Danio rerio: one gene and its partner. The protein of the gene in region 1 binds, or shares a complex with, the protein of each later gene. Links are inferred from orthologs where the notes say so. Each region holds a gene or a part of one and is shown on either strand. Other genes may lie near its edges. The genes, in order: musk and dok7b.

What was found.
Region 2: the proteins of musk (region 1) and dok7b are in contact, whole or in part, in a crystal structure (PDB 3ML4), measured with the Mus musculus proteins. The link is inferred for Danio rerio from reciprocal best matches to the Homo sapiens genes MUSK and DOK7. Residues at the interface, in NP_035074.2 of Mus musculus: Leu547, His548, Pro549, Asn550, Pro551, Met552, Tyr553, Gln554, Arg555; in NP_001335203.1 of Mus musculus: Leu154, Ser155, Asp156, Leu157, Arg158, Arg159, Tyr160, Gly161, Gly172, Thr173, Arg174, Ser193, Asp197, Val200, Arg201.

What each region holds. Positions count from the first base shown.
Region 1 is NC_133185.1:15,375,427-15,380,034, forward strand, and holds the start of musk (muscle, skeletal receptor tyrosine-protein kinase isoform 1 precursor), read right to left. Parts: upstream 2,887-4,608; 5' UTR 2,754-2,886; coding exon 2,681-2,753; intron 1-2,680.
Region 2 is NC_133176.1:44,247,499-44,251,328, reverse strand, and holds part of dok7b (protein Dok-7), read left to right. Parts: intron 1-2,655; coding exon 2,656-2,763; intron 2,764-3,830. UniProt on the Homo sapiens protein: Probable muscle-intrinsic activator of MUSK that plays an essential role in neuromuscular synaptogenesis. Acts in aneural activation of MUSK and subsequent acetylcholine receptor (AchR) clustering in myotubes. Induces autophosphorylation of MUSK.

The DNA of each region.
Region 1 (4,608 bases):
GTTCCTTTAAGGTAAGGTTCCTTTTAAGGCTACATGGTAGAATTTTAATAAGAGTATTATCTTAATCATATTAAAATCGGAGTATTGGTGTCTTATGTAAATGTACTCAGAACGTCTGGTGAAGTCGCGAGCTGTCAAAGACAGGGCATTTCTCTGCCTTTCAGCACGAGCCCCACAAGTTTAGCATGTTTCCTCATTAAACGCAACGAAAGCGTATGCTTCGCGTTGTTGTGGCAGAATCCTTGTGAAATACAGTAATACTTTAGGACGCTTAGTTTAGGACGCTTAGCAAATTTGATGAACGTGATCATGCGTGTTGAATCTGAGGGGAGTCGCTCCAGTATGGAAGGCCGTTGGGGCCAAAACGTCTGCAGCGCGTTGTGTGTGTCTGTCTGTGTGTGTGTCTGTGTCAGGCCCGTTGAGGGGTGTCAGGGATGGAGTGAGCGACATATCTGAGTAGGGGCAAGAGGGGTGTGCAATGTATTTAACGACCGGTTTGCAAGAAATTATCATTAATTTATAGGCATTTGGGAGTCTCTGTGCACTTGCGGGATACTCCTAGTCTTAGCAACTGGATGAATGTAAAGGAGGATTAAGCAAAATGACTCTATAATTAATGTTCTCAACTCACAGCAATAAAACTTTACAATGAATGCAACAGTTTGTATTCTATAGTTTATTATTATAATTTTTCATTTTCCATATCTGCAATTCCTGTATTTTGGCATTTTTTTGCAGTCCACTTAGAATCCAACATGGAAATCATGTTTTCTTTATTGGCATTGATTGTTTTGAAATTTAAATGTCTTTACTCTTACTTTATTTTTTTTTTTTTAATTTATACGTTAGTTAGACAACAGACATCAAAATATTTTTATCGAAATAGGTTTTGCTGAGTTATTTATTTGTTTATTTTCACTATAACTTTTGTTTTACACAACCAAGGTTCATCCAGGTTCATACCCTTATATACATTTCTGGAGAGCACCAAATACGTCCTAGGAGATATGTTATTTTCATATGTTAGTTTTCGCGAATCCACCAGAGGCTGCTGTGTGCACTTTTTTTGAAATCTCAAATTTTTCTCACGAGTGTCATTTGTGCCTGCTTTTCTTTTGTAAATCCAACAGAGGCCACTGTCAACTGGCTGACTGACAGATGGACTTACCCTCCTTCCCTAAACCTAACCAATAGTGTTTTTAAAAGCACCGACTGACCCGCCCACAAACTTCCCTAAACCCAACCGATAGTGTTTTCAAAAGCAATCCAGAAAAAGAAGCCCTTGCGGCAGCCTGATTTTTACCACAGCCAAGATTTAAACCTTATTATCTTAATTATCTTGTTTTTTTTGGCTTTTGGTTTTGTCTTACCTGCTTTCTGGAACCATTCTAAACCAGAGTCAAACTTCGTTGTCACAGTCAACTCTGCGTCACAATTCTGCCAACGTATGCAGTGAGCCACTGTACAAACTGGTAACAGCAGAAAAGTTGTTCACACAAAGGTAAGCAGTCAGCTGGTTAAGCGCGGAAAGAAACAGCGCATCCGTTTTAAAGACTAAATTAAACTAATTCGCAATCTCCAGAAATGTATTGGGCTTCATTTTCAGAATGAGTCTATGTTGTTTTTATACGTTTTTGTTGTGTTTTTATTTTCTTGAAATATTTAGTTTGCTTTTCAGTTTAGTCATTGTGTGTTGTTAAACACATGAAGAGTTTAGATGCAAAAACTTCTAAAAGCCATTTGATATTATTTCTATAATTAGCATTTTGCTCTGACTCTTGTGTGTAGGCTCAGTAATTTTACTTTTATAGTGATGAATAAGTTCTTTTCATTGCCTTTCAAGTGAAATAACTGAACATAAACATAGGAGGCTGATAAAAAAATGCTCATTTAAGGTAAACATTTCCAACGTTTTTACATCTGAACTCCTCACATACAATTTTATTTATATAATTTGTATTTAGTTTATTAGCAATATTATTTAAATTCCAGACAAACTAAATCACATTAAGACACAATTTTATGGCAGCCAGCTAAAGTAAACTTGGAAAGAATATGTGTATGATGTAAATATTTTATGTTAATATTTTATTTAATATTCATGTCTTATATTATATATGAATATGCATAAACAAAACAAAATACAAACTACTGTTTTAGATAATAATTTAACAACGCAAAAGTTTTTGACCATATGTAAAAAAAGTTGAATATATATATATATATATATATATATATATATATATATATATATATATATATATATATATATATATATATTTCCAATTTGCTTTCATTTGATTAAAACAAATACAAATTGCTGAGAATTTTACAAATCATTTGAATTTTTTTTATTAAATTCAATAAATTTATTAAAATAATGAAATAAACTATTACATTATATTTTTAAATCATAAAACAATTTTTTTCATAAAATAAATCACAATAAAAATGCAATAATAAACAAATAGTAATAATAATAATAATAATAGTAATAATAGTACTTGTAGTAGTAAAAATAATGAACCCACATATTCAATGCGTCCACACTATGAAATGTGCAAATCAGCAAATCCTAAGTCATAATTTCTAAACAATAAACAAGCAGCCCGAGTTCACCATGTGGTTATTGCTTGCACAACACAAGTTAGCTGTTCATGTTTCAAAAGCTGTGACTCACCTCTCTGGAGCCCTTCAGTCAGGCTGAAAAATGCCAGAAAAACTACCAGAGGAGTGTTTTTCGGGACCTTCATGTTCACCTTAAAGCCTTCTGCTTCAAATCAGCTTTAAAATCCATTGGTCAGCCTCGTATCAGAACTCTGAAATGAAGTCCAGCAGATGGTACAGTGTGTATGTCTGTGTGTGTGGATGTGTGTGTGCATGTGTAGAAAGGCCTTCGCAGTGTTCGTGCGGTCAGCTGAGATAGACAGGACCAGCTGCTGGATACACTTACAGGAATATGAGGGGGATGAGATACAGAAAGTGCCTTGAAAATACCAATAATACCATTTTTTATACAAGGGAACATGTTGTACTTTTGAAGTTTGTAGATTTTATGTGCAGCTGCTGAATTCAGAGCTTATGATTTGGCTTGAAAAAACATAGAAATAAAACCACAGTCTGTGTTAACCCTGTAAGGCTGAAAATTAGAATTTTCTGGAATTGAGATGTTTATTTCACCCTTTAGTTAAAAAATAAATAAATAAATAAAAGCCATATACATTTTTCTTCATATTTTTGTAAGATTTGATAAATCAGGCATTTGTTTAAGTTTTTGCTCACAACAAAGTTAATTTGAATTACAAAAAATATTTTGCTCTTAACATTTTGACAACAGAGAATATTTAAGACATTTTTTTCTCTTTCTTTTTACCTGTTATCTGCTTTACCTGTTGTATATCAAGTCATTTACAACAGGGTTTTAAACAAAGAAATTATCATGTTGATATCATAGTTCTTAGAAACGTGTGGATAAAATATGATAAGTGCGGTTAATATACTTAAATGTTCTTCTTGAGTCTGAATCTATCAGAAGTGTAACAGTTTGGTACGTAACTTGGTTTCAAACTCACAATATTACTGTATGTTCAGTATAGCAAAAGGGGGAAAAAAACATAAAAAGCTTCAGTTTTAGTTTATGAATGATAAACTATTGATGTTTATAATTTAAGTCACAGTCTAAGCCAGAAATCCTAAAGTACATTTCAGCTGTCTGAGTTTTGTCTCAGAACTGCAACTTGTTTGTTGTGCCCAATTCAATTTTCAAATTTATATACTTTCTAATAGGGGTGTGACGAGGCGCTTAATCCATGAGACAAGACTTGACATGAGATTGGGTTCACTAGAACGAGACAAGATTTTTACAAACTATTTTTATAACACATCTTCAATGATAAAAATATATGAATGGAAAGCAGTCTTTTATTCAACAACAACAACAACAACAACAATTACAAATTGCAAAACTATTTAACTATTTAATTTTTTTTAATTAAACTTGTAATTATTGTTATTTAACTTATATGTTAATGGATTCTGTGCAGTAAAGGACATACAAACACTGCAAAATATTTTGCTAAGAGCCTATGTGAATGGAAAATAGACATTTTATTTATAATTTAAAATATTAGGAAAATATTTGCTAATATATGAATGGAAAATAGATTTTTATTCAACTGAAAAAAATCATGAAATGCAAAACAATTTAGGTGTTTTTTTTTTTATTTTTTATGAAATTGTGATGGTTGGTATTTTATTTCTGTTTTAATGAATTCTGTACTGTTGGACATGCAAACACTGCAAAATGTTTAGCTAGAAACTCTACAGACTGGCTTCTCCCCTGTAGTTGCTACTCCCCTGTAATTTTTGTAGTATTTCATTTTTATTTTTTCAGCAACTTCAGTTTCATTCAGCAAGATTTTGTTCATGCCTCCGTGAGTCGTGACTCACTCTGTACGCAGGTTGCGTAAGGCCTCAACTCCGAACGGGGGCACCATCTATGGAGTTAGATTCATTAGGGACCGAGCACCGAACGGTGCAAGGCCCTATTGGAATTGCTCCGTTTATTAGGGACCGAGCACCGAACGGTGCAAGGCCCTATTGGAATTG
Region 2 (3,830 bases), on another chromosome or scaffold:
ATTTTACATTTAATTTAATTACTTTTTGCAGATTCAAAAAAATTTAATCCAATTAATTAACCACTTTTATTGACAGTAACACAATATAACATATACAGTGTTATTAAATGTAATAGAATAAATGTATCATTATCATTCATCAAAGTCATCAGTATGCTCTATAAACCATAGAATAGAGCTATCAGATTTATTCGAGACCATTTACTGTACATTAAGCTAAACCTTTTTCACAGTCAAAATTTTTGTGCACCCTTAATTGTTAGACAATGTCAGAACTGCATAAAATAAAGCCAGAATTGTGGAACTGCTAAAACACAATTGCAAGAAATAAAGTCATAAATCTGAGACCATATAATGTAAATACAGAATTTCAGATAAAAAATATATAAACTCAAAACTGCAACATTTAAAGTTTGTTATTGTAACAGAAATTCTCAGACAAGGAAAAGAGTCCGAGGGAGAATCATGTTTCTGTGCCTTAAAAGATATTTTAATAAAGATATTTTTCTGTGGACCAACAACGAACATAATCATTTTGAGCATTTTTGATAATGGAAATTGCTTGCAATCATGGCGAAAAATGTTTTCCAGTAATGCTTGGCCCTCAAATTCCACCATTGTCAGTGATTGCCTTCTGCAAGTCTAAATGCATAAATCAAAATCAGTTTACTTTAGTATTTATGACAACACAGTCACTGAATTCTCTGATTCATGCGATGTTACGTTACATTAAGTTCTCGTCTGTCTTACTTCATGCTAAGCTGTCAGGACAGTTGTTTTAGCTGTCATTAAATGTCATTAATTACATGCACTTGATGTATTTTAACCTTTGACATTCAATAAAGGTTGAGCATGAGTTCATAATGCCAGTGATAAATAAGATGTGCAGGGCACTGATTGCAAAATCAGCTTCTGTCAATCAGTCAATTTGTTTTTATATAGTCTGCAGAATAAAAAAAAGCAGAAAAAAGTAGGAGAATGAAATCCTTTAAATAATGTGATTAATATTTGTATACAGCACTGTTTTTTATCTGTGCAAGCAAAAAAAAAAAAGTACATTCACTGGCCACTTTATTAGGTACACCTGTCCAACTGCTCGTTAACGCAAATTTCTAATCAGCCAATCACATGGCAGCAATTCAATGCATTTAGGCATGGAGACATGGTCATGGACACAGTCTGCTGCAGTTCAAACCGAGCATCAGAATGGGGAGGAAAGGGGATTGATGTGGCTTTGAACATGGCATGGTTGTTTTTTTTCACGCACAACAATTTCTAGAGTTTACAGAGAATGGTCTGAAAAAGAGAAAATATCTAGTGAGCGGCAGCTCTGTGGGCGCAATTGCCTTGTTGATGTCAGATGAGAATGGCCAGACTGGTTCCAGCTGAAAGAAAGGCAACAGTAACTCAAGTAACCACTCGTTACCACTGAGCTACGTAGAAGAGCATCTCTGCACACACAACACATCCAACCTTGAGGTGGATGGGCTACAGTAGCAGAAGACCACACCTGGTGCCACTCCTGTCAGCTAAAAACAAGAAGCTAGGCTACAATTCGCACAGGCTCACCAAAATTGGACAATAGAAGATTGGAAAAACTGGTCTGATGAGACTCGATTTCTGCTGAGACATTCGGATGGTAGGGTCAGAATTTAGCATCAACAACATGAAATCATGGATCCATTCTGTCTTGTATCAACGGTTCAGGCTGGTGGTGGGGGTGTGATGATGTGGGGGATATTTTTTGGCACACTTTGGGCCCATTAGTACCAACTGAGCATCGTGTAATCTTTCCAGTATCTTGTTGAATCTATGCCATGAAGGATTAAGGGCAGTTCTGAAGGCAAAAATGGTTCAACCCGGTACCAGTAAGGTGTACCTAATAAAGTGGCTGGTGAGTGTATGTTACTGAACATTTAATGATTTACACATACATATAATATGAAGTATTTTAACACAAAAGCTACACACTTTATTTATTTAAAGGGTTGCAGCACAAAAACAACATGCAGTTTGTTTTTGCTTGTGTGGTATTGATTTTTCAGTCTATTTGTTGCCACTGGCATTGCTTGAAAGCTTTTTGCGCTACTTTAGACCAGCTTGAAATTGACTTTCCATGCTAATTAGATGCCAAAAATATCTACAGTACAGCTAAACCGTGCAAAGTAGGAATGCCTCCATAACAACTTTTCTATCATACATTCTGTTCCAGTTTTCCAGAGGCTTTTATTTACTTGTTCTCCCCTGACTGACTTATTGTTTAATTTGAGCGTTTTGTGTTTGGTGTCCTGATTTATTCTATTGTGTGAGAGAATGATTACCAAACCTACTGGCAAATTCAAAAGGAGGTCTCAAAGCGTCTAGTGTGTGAGTCTGGATCCACATTATGCGAGAGATTATTGCTGTGAGGCTGTGTCTGTGATGTTCCAGTGGAAATTGATAAATGTGCCTAGTGGCTCCGGTAATTCTACCAGCAGAGACAGTGATACAGCAGTGATGGATCGTACATGACTTAATGCTCAGAGACAAATCAGTGCTGTCTGGTGCTTTCTGTGTGACCGTAAGGATTTATGTTGGCACACGTGTGTACAGTATGAATGATGAACACTCACTGTATTGGTTTAATTCAAATGTAATGAAATTCTGTTTCCATAGACCCCAATGCTAACCCGTCGTCTATAGAAGACCGGATTAGCCAGGAGGCTAGTGAGCTGGAGAAAAGACTCAGCATGCTGTCCATTTGTAGTCACCACAGCAGTGCAGGTAATTCAAAAATCATTAACTAAATATACACCTAAAGCAATGTACTCATTTCAAACAGTGAAAATGCAGTTGTAAATGCAAATTCTGTTATAATTTTCTCTTCTTAATGTCATTTCTTTCATCCAAATGTTTTGAATAATCATTACGTTGTTCATTTGCATTTAAAAACTGTTCTTAGTCTTTGTCAAGATCCCAAAGGACTATACAAAGCACAATAAAAGGATTATAAAAGCCATCATATAAAGTCATTCAATCCTAGATGGAAATTGATGTCATTTTTTGTTATCCGCTTGTTAAGTGTGACGTCACGCAGAGCGGCTTCCGGGTTCAAACGCTCTATTCAACTTTATGGGGAGATTTATGAAATGGTAATAATAAACGTTTACAAAGCGATTTAATACTTTCTAAAGTCACGATCGCAAAATATATGTCCATGCCTAATATCCGATGGCCAGAAAGTAATTCATTGTTTTATAAATTGTTAAAAATTTGGTATTTGTCATGCAGCAAGCCCAGAGAGTGTTGTGTACACTATGACTTTATATAAAATTAACTTTAATGTGCAATATGAATAAAAAAGTGATTTCTCCACTCAAGTGAATGGCGGCTTGGACCCGGAAACAGTATTACATGTGTCAAAAACACGTCACCACTTAACAAGCGGATTGAAATTTAATGTTATTTATGTCAGTTTAAGGGATAATAATTTACAGTCAAATCCCAGAAATTTATTCCGAAGGAATTGATTTTTTTTTGTCAGCAGTAATAAATAAAACTGAATTTATATTGGGGATATGTACAAGCAAGTTAAAAATCGACAGAAAGAGAGCACAGTAAAAAGAAAAGCATGAAAGCCTGGACACAATCATCAGACTTTCAAAAGTTTTTGTTCATAGGGCAGTAAAATACTCTGCAAAGACAATGCGCCCTATCATCATAGACCGGACGCAATAAGATGCAACACGTGTTTGACGCGATTTGTTGCCAAGCGCAACCCTAATTTTCACGTTGTGAAATAGCCACGTTGTTTAAATAGCAAAACCATTTGCGTCACTCATGGGCGTGTT